Linked DNA regions of Ovis aries. The protein of the gene in region 1 interacts with the protein of each later gene in a biochemical or structural test. Links are inferred from orthologs where the notes say so. Each region holds a gene or a part of one and is shown in the gene's direction. Other genes may lie near its edges.

Region 1 (4,433 bases):
AGAGTCTTCTCCAACACCACAGTTTAAATGCATCAATTCATCAGCGCTCAGTTTTCTTCACAGTCCAACTCTTGCATCCATACATGACCACTGGAAAAACCATAGCCTTGACTAGACAGACCTTTGTTGGCAAAGTAATGTTTCTACTTTTAAAGAAGAAGCAGGAAATGGAGACCTTAATGTGATGATCCAAATCATTGATACATTTCTTTTGAAGGTAGACAATAAAAAAAGGAAGGTATAGGCAGAGGAAAGAGAAAGAATTTGCTGAAGAATGGCTTCTGAAGGTGAGTGATGGGTGCAGCAAGCTGGTTTTTTATCTTAGTTGGGGAACGAGAGGGAAGAAGGATGAGAGGAATAGAGAAGGTCAGCTAAAAAGAATTTAAAAGAAAGGAACATGTTTGTAATTATTTCAGTCAAGTTTAAGGTGAGAAATGAAAGCACAGAGATAACAGAATAGAAAAAAACCACATAATTTTAGTAGTTAACATTTATTGAACTATTAATTCTATTTTGCAGAGGGGAACCTAAGACACAGAGGGGTTAAATAGCTTGCCCAAATCTACACAGCTCGTTCTTGGCAGAGCCTGAATTTCAATCCTTGCAATCCGAACTTCTATTTTAAAATGAAGTACTTAACGAAGCACATAAAGTGAGAACTCTCATAGAGAGGTGATATAGAGACCAAGGGATTAACTGGGAGGGGGAGAAGGCCGCATTAAAAAACTTTTTTTTTAACCAGTGGGCTAATTATATGTGTTGTATGTTAGTCGCTCAGTCGTGTCCGACTCTTTGCGACCCCATGGACTGTAGCCCACCAGGCCTCCTCTGTCCATGAGATTCTCCCGGCAAGAATACTGGAGTGGGTTGCCATTCCCTTCTCTAGGGGATCTTTCTGACCCAGGAATCGAACCTGTCTCCTGCACTGCAGGCAGATCTTTACCATCTGAGCCACAAGGGAAGCAGACAGAACACTTTGTATATGCTAGCTCATTTAATTCCACTAACAATTCTGTTCGATAGATACTAGCTCAGTTTTCAGACAGGGGCACTTGACATTTGATAAACGACACATACCTTGCACAGAGTTCCATCTCAATAGCAGGTTCTGCAGCAAGACAAGGAAGACTGAAGGAGACTTGGCAACAGAACGGAACAGGGCAAGGTAAGCAGGTTCAAAATGAGAAATGCAGGAAAAGTTTCTCACTTAAGTCTAGGCTAGTTCGTTTTCAAATCTCTCCCGTCAGCCCGCGAAGGCGTCACAAAGCCCGCCCCTCGGAGGCGAGGCCACGCCCCCTTCCGCGGAGGGGCTCGGAGCTCCCAAGACTTCCCTCCCACCCTTTGACCCCGCCCACTCCTCCCAGCATCATTTCCTGTGCGCTGGGCGCTAATTGGCCCGGCAGTCGGAAGTGAGGGCGGGCGGTGGGGCCGTTGCCGCAGTGACAGAGCTGGGGGAGTCCGAAGATGGCGGCGTCGCGTCGCTCTCAGCATCATCACCACCATCATCAACAACAGCTCCAGCCCGCCCCAGGGGCTTCGGCGCCGCCGCCGCCACCTCCCCCCCCACTCAGCCCGGGCCTGGCCCCTGGGACCACCCCGGCCTCCCCTACGGTGGGCGGCCTGGCTCCGTTCGCCTCCCCGAGGCACGGCCTAGCGCTGCCGGAGGGGGATGGCAGTCGGGATCCGCCCGACAGGCCCCGATCCCCGGACCCGGTTGACAGTGCCAGCTGTTGCAGTCCCACGAGCACAATCTGTACGGTTGCCGCCGCTCCTGTGGTCCCGGCGGTTTCTGCCTCATCTGCCGTCGGGGTCGCTCCCAACCCAGCCGGCGGCGGCAGTAACAATTCACCGTCGTCCTCTTCTTCCCCGACTTCTTCCTCCTCTTCCTCTCCATCCTCCCCCGGATCGAGCTTGGCGGAGAGCCCCGAGGCGGCCGGAGTTAGCACCACAGCACCATTGGGGCCTGGGGCTGCGGGCCCTGGGCCAGGGGTCCCAGCAGTGAGCGGGGCCCTGCGGGAACTGCTGGAGGCCTGTCGCAATGGGGACGTGTCCCGGGTAAAGAGACTGGTGGACGCGGCAAACGTGAATGCTAAGGACATGGCCGGCCGGAAGTCTTCTCCCCTGCACTTCGCTGCAGGTCAGAGACTTTTTGAATTGTTTATTAAGGGTTTTGGTGTTTGGCACTGGGGTCCGGGTAGGGAAAGAAAACGAATTATGATGATGGGAACGATGGGGGCGTGGTGATGATGCCTCAGTACTTCTCGGGAAGCCTTGAGGTTCCTTTTTTTAGGTGGTGCCAGGGTGACGGGGGCGTGGTAGGGGAACGTGTGAGTCCCTTTTTAGTTTGCACAGTGATCCTCGTTCTCATCCCCTGCCTCCCTTAGTGGTCGTCTCAGGACATGGATATACTTAAACTTTTTCAGTTCCGAGTGTGTCGGAATAAAATTAGATCTGAGTAGTGTTAGAGTAGTTTTGTCGTGTGTTGGCTCATTTCCTTTTTACAGGAGTAATGTCGCATGACAAACTAGACCAAGAGAAGTTTAATAAAACTCAACAAGTGTTAAGTAGCTATCGTAACCTTATAATTAATATAAGAGACTTAAATGAAGTTAGTGAAACTTTCTCCCCTTTTGAGGTAGTGTACAGTCCGATTGGGCAGATCAAAATGTTCCTATGTGAAACAACTGGAGAAGAATATTTGGATGCATTATGTGATGGCAGAAGAAAAGGCTTTGAAGTTCTGGCAACTGCTGTCTGTTGCTTGTGTAACAGATAATTTACCTTGTCTCAGTAGCCTCCATCTCCTCATGGGCAAAAATGTATATGGGGATTGTGTGAGGATTTCCTGAGAGGTATCTGGGACCTAAGTTCTCCCGCGAAAATACTTATTCTTAAAACCTGGACCACTGCACACTTTTTTTTTTTTAAAGCAAGTAATTATTATCTTTTAAAAACAGATAGTATGTTTTTATCTAAACTACAGGGAAATTTAAAAAAGGATCATAATCTCATTGCCTAGATACCTCCTATTGACATTAAAAAAATAAAGATGATAAGGTTATATACCTTAGAAATGTTACATTAGAAATGTATATATTGTATGTACATTCATATAGTACAGAAATAAATGAAAAAGCGTCACACATAAACATCAAAGATCATACTCTGAAGATAACTTCTGTTAAGTTTCATGCTTTATTTCTAATATATACCACTCTTTGAGTTTGTTCTGTTAATGTAAAGCATATGTTGAGAACTTAATGTATTGTTTATCAGAACTCGGAAAATATTTTTATCCTCATTTACAGATGACAAAAGTGAAGCGTGTACAGCTTAGATAATCCTAAATTCACATAAGAAGTAGTGGAACCTGAATTTAAACTTAGTTTGATTTTGGAATGTGTGAAGTCCAGGTTAAACAATTATACTTGGTTTAAGATCACTTTTCAATTTGTGGGTAATTTTTATGGAGTTTTCACTTTGGCAGTGTTTGGGGAGAAGAAGTAATTGGGGGCATATATACTCCAAGAGTAGTGTTCACACATTTTTTTTTTTTGCAGCCCATACTTAGCAATAAATTTTATGTTGTAACATGCAGAGTGAATCAAAAGTTTCAGTAAACAGTTCTTTGCCTTGCTACATGTGTTGTACTCTGATATTTTATATCCTAATCCATTTCCTGTCTTGCAAATGCTGTTTGTGATCCCATTAATGAGTCATGGTCAGCAATGTGAGAAATACAGGAAATCATTATTAGATCGCTGGGAATGTGGACGCTACTGTTAGGAAAGATTGAGGGCAGGAGGAGAATGGGGCGACAGAGGGTGAGAGGGTTGGATGGCATCATCGACACAATAGACTTGAGTTTGAGCAGACTCCAGGAAATAGTGAAGGACAAGGAAGCCTGACATGCTGCAGTCTATAGGGTCGCAAAGAGTCAGACATGGCTTAGCAGCTGAACAACAACTATTAGGAATGTAGTGAATTGAATCAAAATCAGGCTCCCATTTAAGTAGACAGATGCTCACAAGTGTTGCTTACTTTAGATGAAATAATTTCTTTTTTTTAGGCAGGATGAAAGATCTGTAATAAATAAAGCAAGACTGCCTTTGTAAACTTTGTTCCAAATTTGACTATTATAACATGTTGTTTCACAAATCTTGTCATTTTTCATCATACTGCATTGTAAGTAATCACTTGCAGATATTACATTAATTTTTGTAATATTTAGAATTAGTTGCACACAAAATAGTGCTTATCTCCCAAGTCACATCTTCTTTTTGCCGCAGTAGTTATTTTTTGTTCTGTTTTAGAGTTTTTTGTGTACCCAGCTAAGCTAAAAGACAACCAGTGAAACAGTCCTGTAATTATGTTGTAGTTATGAGACCCTAATCTTGAAGTGGCTTATTTAGGGAAAAAAAATAATCTGTTTT
Region 2 (3,796 bases), on another chromosome or scaffold:
GCCCGTTTCGGGGCTGGTGTCTGGGTGAGGACGGGTGGCTGGGCCCGAGCTGCCTGGACGCCTTCTGTCCACAGAGTAGGCCTGAAACGGCCCAGCCGTGCCTGCAAGAGTGTGGCCAAGGCCCCATGCGCAGGCAGGGCCCTTGCAGGCTGTTCTCCCCAGCCCCGAGGGTCCTGGCCAGCTGTCCAGCCTGGGCCGGCTGAAGTAGCAAGTGACCAGGCCTTGCTCTTGCAGCGGGAAGGCGGGCACGACCTCCAAGAGAAACTCCAAGAAGGCGGAGCTGGGCAAGAGCAGCAGCACAGAGGCGCCAGGCCCGGCTGAGGACGCGGAGAAGAACCAGAAGATCCTGCAGTGGATCATCGAGGGCGAGAAGGAGATCAGCCGGCACCGGAAGGCGGGCCACGGGTGAGGGCCCCGGCCGGGCCTCCCCCACCCCAGCGCCGAGTCCCCCAGTCCCGGCTCCGAGTCCCCCTCCCCCGGCCGAGTCCCCCAGTCCCGGCTCCGAGTCCCCCTCCCCCGGCCGAGTCCCCCAGTCCCGGCTCCGAGTCCCCCTCCCCCGGCCGAGTCCCCCAGTCCCAGTTCTGAGTCCTCCACCCCAGCTGAGCCCCCCAATCCCAGCTCCAAGCCCTCCCCCGGCCGAGTCCCCCACCCCAGCCGAGCCCTCCCCCGGCCGAGTCCCCCACCCCGGCCGAGTCCCCCAGTCCCAGCTCCGAGCCCTTCCCTGGCCGAGCCTCCCCCACCCCGGCTCCGAGTCCCCCAATCCCAGCTCCGAGCCCTTCCCTGGCCGAGCCTCCCCCACCCCGGCCGAGTCCCCCAGTCCCAGCTCTGAGTCCTCCCCTCCCCCCCCCGGCCGAGTCCCCCACCCCTGGCTCCGAGTCCCCCAGTCCCAGCTCCAAGCCCTCCCCCGGCTGAGTCCCCCACCCCCGGCTCCGAGTCCCCCAGTCCCAGCTCTGAGTCCTCCCCTCCCCCGTGGCTCTGAGTCCCCCACCCCCGGCTCCGAGTCCTCCCCCGGCCGAGTCCCCCACCCCCAGCCGAGGCCTCCCCCGGCCGAGTCCCCCACCCCCAGCCGAGTCCTCCCCTGGCCGAGTCCCCCACCCCTGGCTCCGAGTCCCCCAGTCCCAGCTCCGAGTCCTCCCCTCCCCCCTGGCTCTGAGTCCTCCCCTCGCCCTGGCTCTGAGTCCTCCCCGTCCTGGGCTCTGAGTCCCCCACCCCCAGCTCTGAGTCCTCCCCTCCCCCATGGCTCTGAGCCCCCTTCCCCCTGGCTCTGAATCCTCCCACCCTCAGCTCTGAGTCCTACCCCCTGGCTCTGAGTCCTCCCCTCACCCCGGCTCTGAGTCCTCCCCTCACCCCGGCTCTGAGTCCCCCAGCCCCCCAGTTCTGAGTCCCCCCACCCCTGGCTCTGATTCCTTTCGCCCCCGGCTCTGAGTCCCTCACCCCCCAGCTCTGAGTCCCCCCACCCCAGCTCTGAGTCCTCCCCCCGAGCTCTGAGTCCCCCCCACCCCCGAGTTCTCCTCCCCACCGGCTCTTGAGTCCCTGTCCCCCCAACTCTGTTCCCCACCTCTAGCTCTGAGTCCTCCCACCCTGGCTCTGAATCCCCCCCCCCCCGGCTCTGAGTCCCCCTCCCCCTGGCTCTGAATCCCCCTCCCCCTGGCTCTGAGTCCCCCTCCCCCCGGCTCTGAGTCCCCCTCCCCCCGGCTCTGAGTCCCCCTCCCCCCGGCTCTGAGTCCCTGCCAGCTCTAGAGCCTGCTATCAGCGCCAGGCAGCAATTTGTGCAGGCCATGTGCCCGTGGGACCAGGGCCAGCCCATGGCAGCGTGAGGTCAACCCTTCGTGTGTGGGCCCTGTGACGGGGTGGGCATTGGTGACAACGTCAGTGTCCCGGGCAGGAATGCCCACTGGTGGGGTCAGCTGCTGCAGCCCCACTGGGCAGGATCCTACAGCCCTGTGGCTGCCGCTCCAGGAGGAGCCTCTGAGCTGGCCTCCTTGACCCCAGCTGCCAGAGAACATGCCTCTGCCCCGGGCCCCCGCTCCGTGTCAGCTTCAGTGTCCCCGTCCTGTCCGTGGTGGGGCGGGACGGGCAGGAGCCTGGGCTTCGGGGCCAGGCGTGGGCTCCCTGGTCCTGCGCTCTTGGGTCCAGACCCTCCACACTCACAAACCCTGTCCCGGTGGCTCGCTGCTTGGCCGTTGGCCCCCCCGCAGCTGGAGGGTTTCTGTGGGAAGATGAGCCCGGAAGCAGTGTCCTGGGTGCGCTGTGGGCTCCATCGTGCAGGCCTTTCTGGGGTCTATGGACCTGGGGGCAGGGCACAGAGCAGGGAGTGAGGAGGTGGGGGCCTCATGGGTCCTAGGAGGAGTCCACCTCCCCATGGGGCAGGTCACATCACACTGGCGCTGAGTCAGCCCTCTCCCCCGGGGTGCCATTCCTGGGATTCCCTCATTTTGCTCCTGGGGACACGCCCCCCTTCTGAAGCCTCTAGTCCAGCTGAGAGAGGCAGTGTTTCCACTCGAATTCCATGCAGTGGTTGAGTGATGGCAGGTCACGCAGACGTAAAGGCTCTTGGTGTCTGATGGCGGGGACGGTGGCATCATGTGGAGGAAAGGCAGGAAACAGCGCGTGATCAGAATTCTGCCAACCGTGGCAGGTGCTCTCAGTGGGGAAGGAAGCGCGCGGAACGCACTGAGTGGCTGTCGCTGAATCATGTTTATTTTTTTCTTAGAATTTCATGAACGTTTCAAGTTTTTCACAAAAAGAAAACTTATTTATTTGTATTTTTAAAGGAATGATGAAAGTTAAGCTTTTGTTTGTTTGGCTGCCCTGGGTCTTGGTTGGGGCATGTGAGAGCAAGTTCTCTGACGAGGGATCAAACCCAGGCCCCTGCATTGGGGGCTGGGAGTCTTAGCCATCCGACCTCCAGGAGGTCCCAAGAACACTTATTCTAATATCAAAATACTTTTCAAAAACAAAAAATCTTTATGTAAAAGAACACTTCGTGGGGAAACATTAAGAAAATGTCCACATAGGGTATGGTTTACATTTCAGAAAGCGATGAGCACGGTGCAGAGCAGGTCTCCAGAAAGGCTGTGCATCAGGGGTAGGGGTTGTGCAGGGCCTGGGCGCGGCTCACCTGCTTCTCTTGCCCCCGAAGGTCGTCCGGGGCTAAGAAGCAGCAGGCCCACGAGAGCTCCAGGCCCCTGTCCATTGAGCGCCCCGGGGCCGTGCACCCCTGGGTCAGCGCCCAGCTCCGGAGTTCGGTGCAGCCATCGCATCTCTTCATTCAAGACCCCACGATGCCGCCCAACCCCGCCCCCAACCCCCTGACGCAGCTGGAGGAGGCACGCCGGCGCCTGGAGGAGGAGGAGAAGAGGGCCAGCAAGGCGCCCTCGAAGCAGAGGTGCGTGGTCCTCGCAGCATCCGTCCGGGGCGGGAGCCCTTCTGCGCCTTGGCTGGCCTGCGGCTGCGCTCAGGGTGCCGGTGCGGCCCACCGCGTCTGCGAAGGGGCCTGGTGTTCCCAGCCACGCGGGGGAGCCCTGGCGCCTCGCTCTCGGTGCTGAGAGCCCAGCCCCGCGGCCCTCCTCGCGGCGCCCTGTGTGGCTGTCAGGGCTGGTGCGGCCCTTCGTGGGGCAGGCCGTCCCTCCACGCTGGACCCTGGCCCCGGGGCCTTTGCGGTCACTTTCCCGGGCGTGCCAGCCACTCTGGACTCCAAGGTGGTCCGGGCTCTGAGGGCCTGGAGACAGGAGTGTGGTTGCCGGATGGCGGCACCGTCCCGGGTGTTACTAGTCCCCGTGTCCCATCTTCAGTC
Region 3 (3,796 bases), on another chromosome or scaffold:
GCTCTGCGGTGTGTGTGTGTGTACAGTGTGTGTCTCGGGTGTGGCTCTGCGGTGCTGTGCATGTGTGTGTCTGTGTGTGTCTCGGGTGTGCCTCTGCGGTGCTTCTGTGTGTGTGTGTGCAGTGTGTGTGTGTGTGTCTCGGGTGTGGCTCTGTGGTGCTGTGCGTGTGTGTGTGTGTGTGTGTCTCGGGTGTGGCTCTGCGGTGCTTGTGTGTGTGTGTACAGTGTGTGTCTGTGTGTGTGTCTCGGGTGTGGCTCTGTGGTGCTGTGCGTGTGTGTGTGTGTGTGTGTCTCGGGTGTGGCTCTGTGGTGCTGTGCGTGTGTGTGTGTGTGTCTTGGGTGTGGCTCTGCGGTGCTTGTGCATGTGTGTGTCCCGTGTGTGTGTGTGTGTGTCTCGGGTGTGGCTCTGCGGTGCTGTGCATGTGTGTGTACAGTGTGTGTGCGTGTCTCTGTGTTGGGTGTGGCTCTGTGGCGCTTGTGTCAGTGTGTGGAAGGAGTGACCGGTGATCTGTGCCCACTTCCCCACAGGAGACGGGCCGTGAGTGTGTGCATGTGTGTCTGTCTTGGGGGCAAGCAGGCAGCTGGGCCACACACAGGCTCCCGGGTGCAGAGCGTGAGCCGCAGAGCGCGCTGTGCATGCCGGATGGTATGGGTCGTGTCTCGAGGGTGCAGCGGGCAGGAGACGCAGCTTGGGCCCAAAGGTGGCGTCCCTGCCTCCAGGCAGACCTCAGCTCTGTCCCAGGCCCTGGGCCACGCGGGGACGCAGGCGGCTGCGTCCTCGAGTTGCTGGCCGACGGGCCGTGGGGATAGAGCACCTGGACTTGAGGCGGGGCTGGCAGCTCGTGCCCAGGGTGTGCTGGGCGAGGGGCGGGCCCGGGGGCTCCCCAGGGGGGATCCAGGCTGACTGAGGGCGCGGGGGCACCTGCCGGGCAGAAGCAGCTTGTCAAGCGCCATCGGGTACGCGGCGGTCCGCGAGGGCCGTGTGTGTAGAGGCGTGCAGGGACGGTGAGCTGGAGGGCGGGGGTGGGGCTCGGCAGGCGGTCCGCAGCCCGGGAGGGCCAGCGTCCACAGCGTTGGCAGCGGTCGGATCCCTTTGGTGGGCATGCCCCCCCGCGCGGCTCTGTGCGAGGTGTTAGTCTCAATCCACGCTTGCAGAGACTCTCCTTAGAAGACTCTAAGGCTCTTGGGGTCCCCTGTGCGCAGCTCTGTGCGAGGTGTTCAGAGCCTCACTCTGTGCCCCCGGTGACCCTGTAGTTAGCAGACCCCTTGGGGGTGAAGGGACTCCCCCATCGTCTCAGGAAGCGGGGAGCCTGGCGTTTGAACACGCCGGGCTGGCCCAGCTTGCTCCCTGTGTACAGTCCGGAGGGAGGCATGGATGGCCTGCAGGGAAACAGGCTGAGAAAGGCTCTCTGCGCGGGGGGCTTTGGGCGAGCCCGCAGCCTCGCATGACCTCGGCCTCTGCTCTGTCCCCGCAGCCCTGGTGATTACCTGGCCCGCTCCCCACCCAGGGGCTCCCAAGGCCAGCCAGGGGAGAGGCTGGCTGCCCACAGCCCCGAGGCCCTGGCCCTGCAGGAGTTGGCATCCCCGGGGCCCAGGACCCTGTCGGAGGAGGAAGGGGCCGCAGCAGGTGCGGACCGAGTGGAGCCCTGGGAGCCCGGCCGGGACCCCCTGCCTTCCTGGAGGCTGCAGCCGGATGGGGAGGCCAGCTGGACAGACGCGGTCGACAGCACCCAGGATGCCGCAGGGGCCAGGCAGGGCGAGCAGACCCCCCAGGGCCTGCCGGCCAGTACCCCCAGCCAGGATTTCTCCTTCATCGAGGTCAGTGGGTGGGCTGTTGTCAGGATGCAGGTGGAAGGGGTGTATAGGTGCTGCAGCTTGGGTCTCACCTCGGGACCTCCCTCTTGGTGGGGTGGTCTCAGCCTGGGGGGTGGGAAGCTGGGACAGGGCGGCTGCGCGAAGGTGATGGCAGTGGTGTGTACCCCCAACCCCTGCAGGACACCGAGATCCTCGACAGCGCCATGTACCGGAGCCGTGCCAACCTGGGGCGCAAGCGTGGGCACCGTGCCCCGGCCATCCGGCCCGGGGGCACGCTGGGCCTGTCGGAGGCTGCAGCGTCGGACGCGAGGCTGTTCCAAGACTCCACAGGTAGGGCCAGGCTGTCCTGACGACCTTCATGTCGCTGTCCCGTGGGCGGGGGGTCTGGGGTCGCCGCCCCGTACTGAGACCCTGCCTGGGTCCTTGCAGAGCCACGGGCTTCGCAGGCGCCGTCCTCGGACGAGGAGGTGGTCGAGGAGCCTCAGAACCGCAGGACACGGGTGACCAAGGGCCTGAAAGTCAGCCTGTTTCCTGGCCTGAGCCCATCGGCCCTGAAGGTACCCTCTGGCTGTGCCGCCCTCTGGTGTCCAGCCTGCCCTCTGTCTGTCTGTCTGTTCGTCTAAGCTCCGAAACCCTGTCCGTTCTCTGCGCCTGCTGTGCCCGTGGTGGGCGCGAGGCGGGATGGAGAGAAGAACACGAAGGGTCTGGGTCCCAGAACCCCACGGGCTGGCAGGGCGACCGCGGTACAGCGGGGTGGAGGTTTAGGCGTCCTGGGGGTGCGGGGCTGGGGCAGGCTGCTCAGAGGGAGGTGGGAAGCGGGGTGCGGGACTCGGGGAGACCTCCGGTGACCGTAGTGTGTGTGGTGGGGAGATGTTGCAGGCAGAGGGCACAGGGCGTGCAGACCCCGGGGGCGTCCCCGCTGGCTCCGTCCAGGCCGCTTGGGCTGGATTCAGGTCAGCAGTGTCTCCCCGAGGGCCTGCGGGGTGCCAGGCACAGCCCGCCCTCGGGGGAGGTCATCGCTAAGCGACTTCCCCTCCCCAGGGTAAGAGGGCTGTGGAGGGCGTTGGGGTCTGGGCCGGGGACCCTGCGCTCTGGGGAGAAGGCCTGGCCCTCTCTGCCGTCACCGGCCCCGCTGACGTCCATCCGCTCCCGGCTTCCTCTCAGGCCAAGCTGCGCTCGCGGAACCGCTCGGCTGACGAGGGGGAGCCCTCAGAGGGCAAGGCGGGCCAGAAGGAGCTGATGCAGCGCTCCAAGTCCTGCAAGGGCCCCGGGCTGGGCAAGCCCCACGCGCTCCCACCCAAGCCAGACAAGTCCTCAGGGTAGGTGATCTGCGTGCCGGGAACTACCCATCTCAGTCTTAAGAGGAAAACCCTGCTTTACAGGGAGACTTGGGGGGGGGGGGGTGTCGTGCCACAGGTCGGCACTCTTCGCTTGGTGCCAGGGTGCTGGTCTGACTTCTGCCCCCTGCCTTCTAGGTCCGAAGGATCATCGCCCAACTGGCTGCAAGCCCTGAAGTTGAAAAAGAAGAAGGTCTAAGAAGTCGTTGAGGTGCGGGCAGGAGCTGGGCTTGACCTGTCTGGGGCTGGGGGCTGGTTCAGGGCTGCTGGGGGCCCTGCCCCGAGGCCTCCGGAGGCCCCAGACCTGCTTTTATGGCCCTCCTCTGCAAGGCTGGAGGAGGGATAGGCTACCCACTGCAGTATTCTTGGGCTTCCCTGGTGGCTCAGCTGGTAAAGAGTTGCCTGCAATTGGGAGACTTGGGTTCCATTCCTGGGTTGGGAAGACCCCCCTGGAGAAGGAAATGGTTACCCACTCCAGTATTCTTGCCTGGAGAACCCCATGGACAGAGGAGCCTGGCGGGTTGCAGTCCATAGGGTTGCAAAGAGTCGGATACAACTGAGCCACTAACATTCCGAGGCTGGAAGCAGATGGCTAAGGCCAAGCTCCAGAGTCCTGGGTCTCTCGGCTTGGGGGCGTCCACCCCG

The links. The genes of interacting proteins can lie anywhere in the genome.
Region 2: the proteins of TNKS (region 1) and AXIN1 form a complex in vitro, tested with the Homo sapiens proteins (2 studies listed by BioGRID). The link is inferred for Ovis aries from reciprocal best matches to the Homo sapiens genes TNKS and AXIN1.
Region 3: the proteins of TNKS (region 1) and TNKS1BP1 form a complex in vitro, tested with the Homo sapiens proteins (2 studies listed by BioGRID). The link is inferred for Ovis aries from reciprocal best matches to the Homo sapiens genes TNKS and TNKS1BP1.

What each region holds. Positions count from the first base shown.
Region 1 is NC_056079.1:24,652,639-24,657,071, forward strand, and holds the start of TNKS (poly [ADP-ribose] polymerase tankyrase-1), read left to right. Parts: upstream 1-1,436; 5' UTR 1,437-1,464; coding exon 1,465-2,137; intron 2,138-4,433.
Region 2 is NC_056077.1:848,121-851,916, reverse strand, and holds part of AXIN1 (axin-1), read left to right. Parts: intron 1-234; coding exon 235-405; intron 406-3,142; coding exon 3,143-3,388; intron 3,389-3,796. UniProt on the Homo sapiens protein: Component of the beta-catenin destruction complex required for regulating CTNNB1 levels through phosphorylation and ubiquitination, and modulating Wnt-signaling.
Region 3 is NC_056068.1:79,333,030-79,336,825, reverse strand, and holds part of TNKS1BP1 (182 kDa tankyrase-1-binding protein), read left to right. Parts: intron 1-1,474; coding exon 1,475-1,817; intron 1,818-1,993; coding exon 1,994-2,144; intron 2,145-2,243; coding exon 2,244-2,371; intron 2,372-2,978; coding exon 2,979-3,133; intron 3,134-3,289; coding exon 3,290-3,350; 3' UTR 3,351-3,362; intron 3,363-3,796.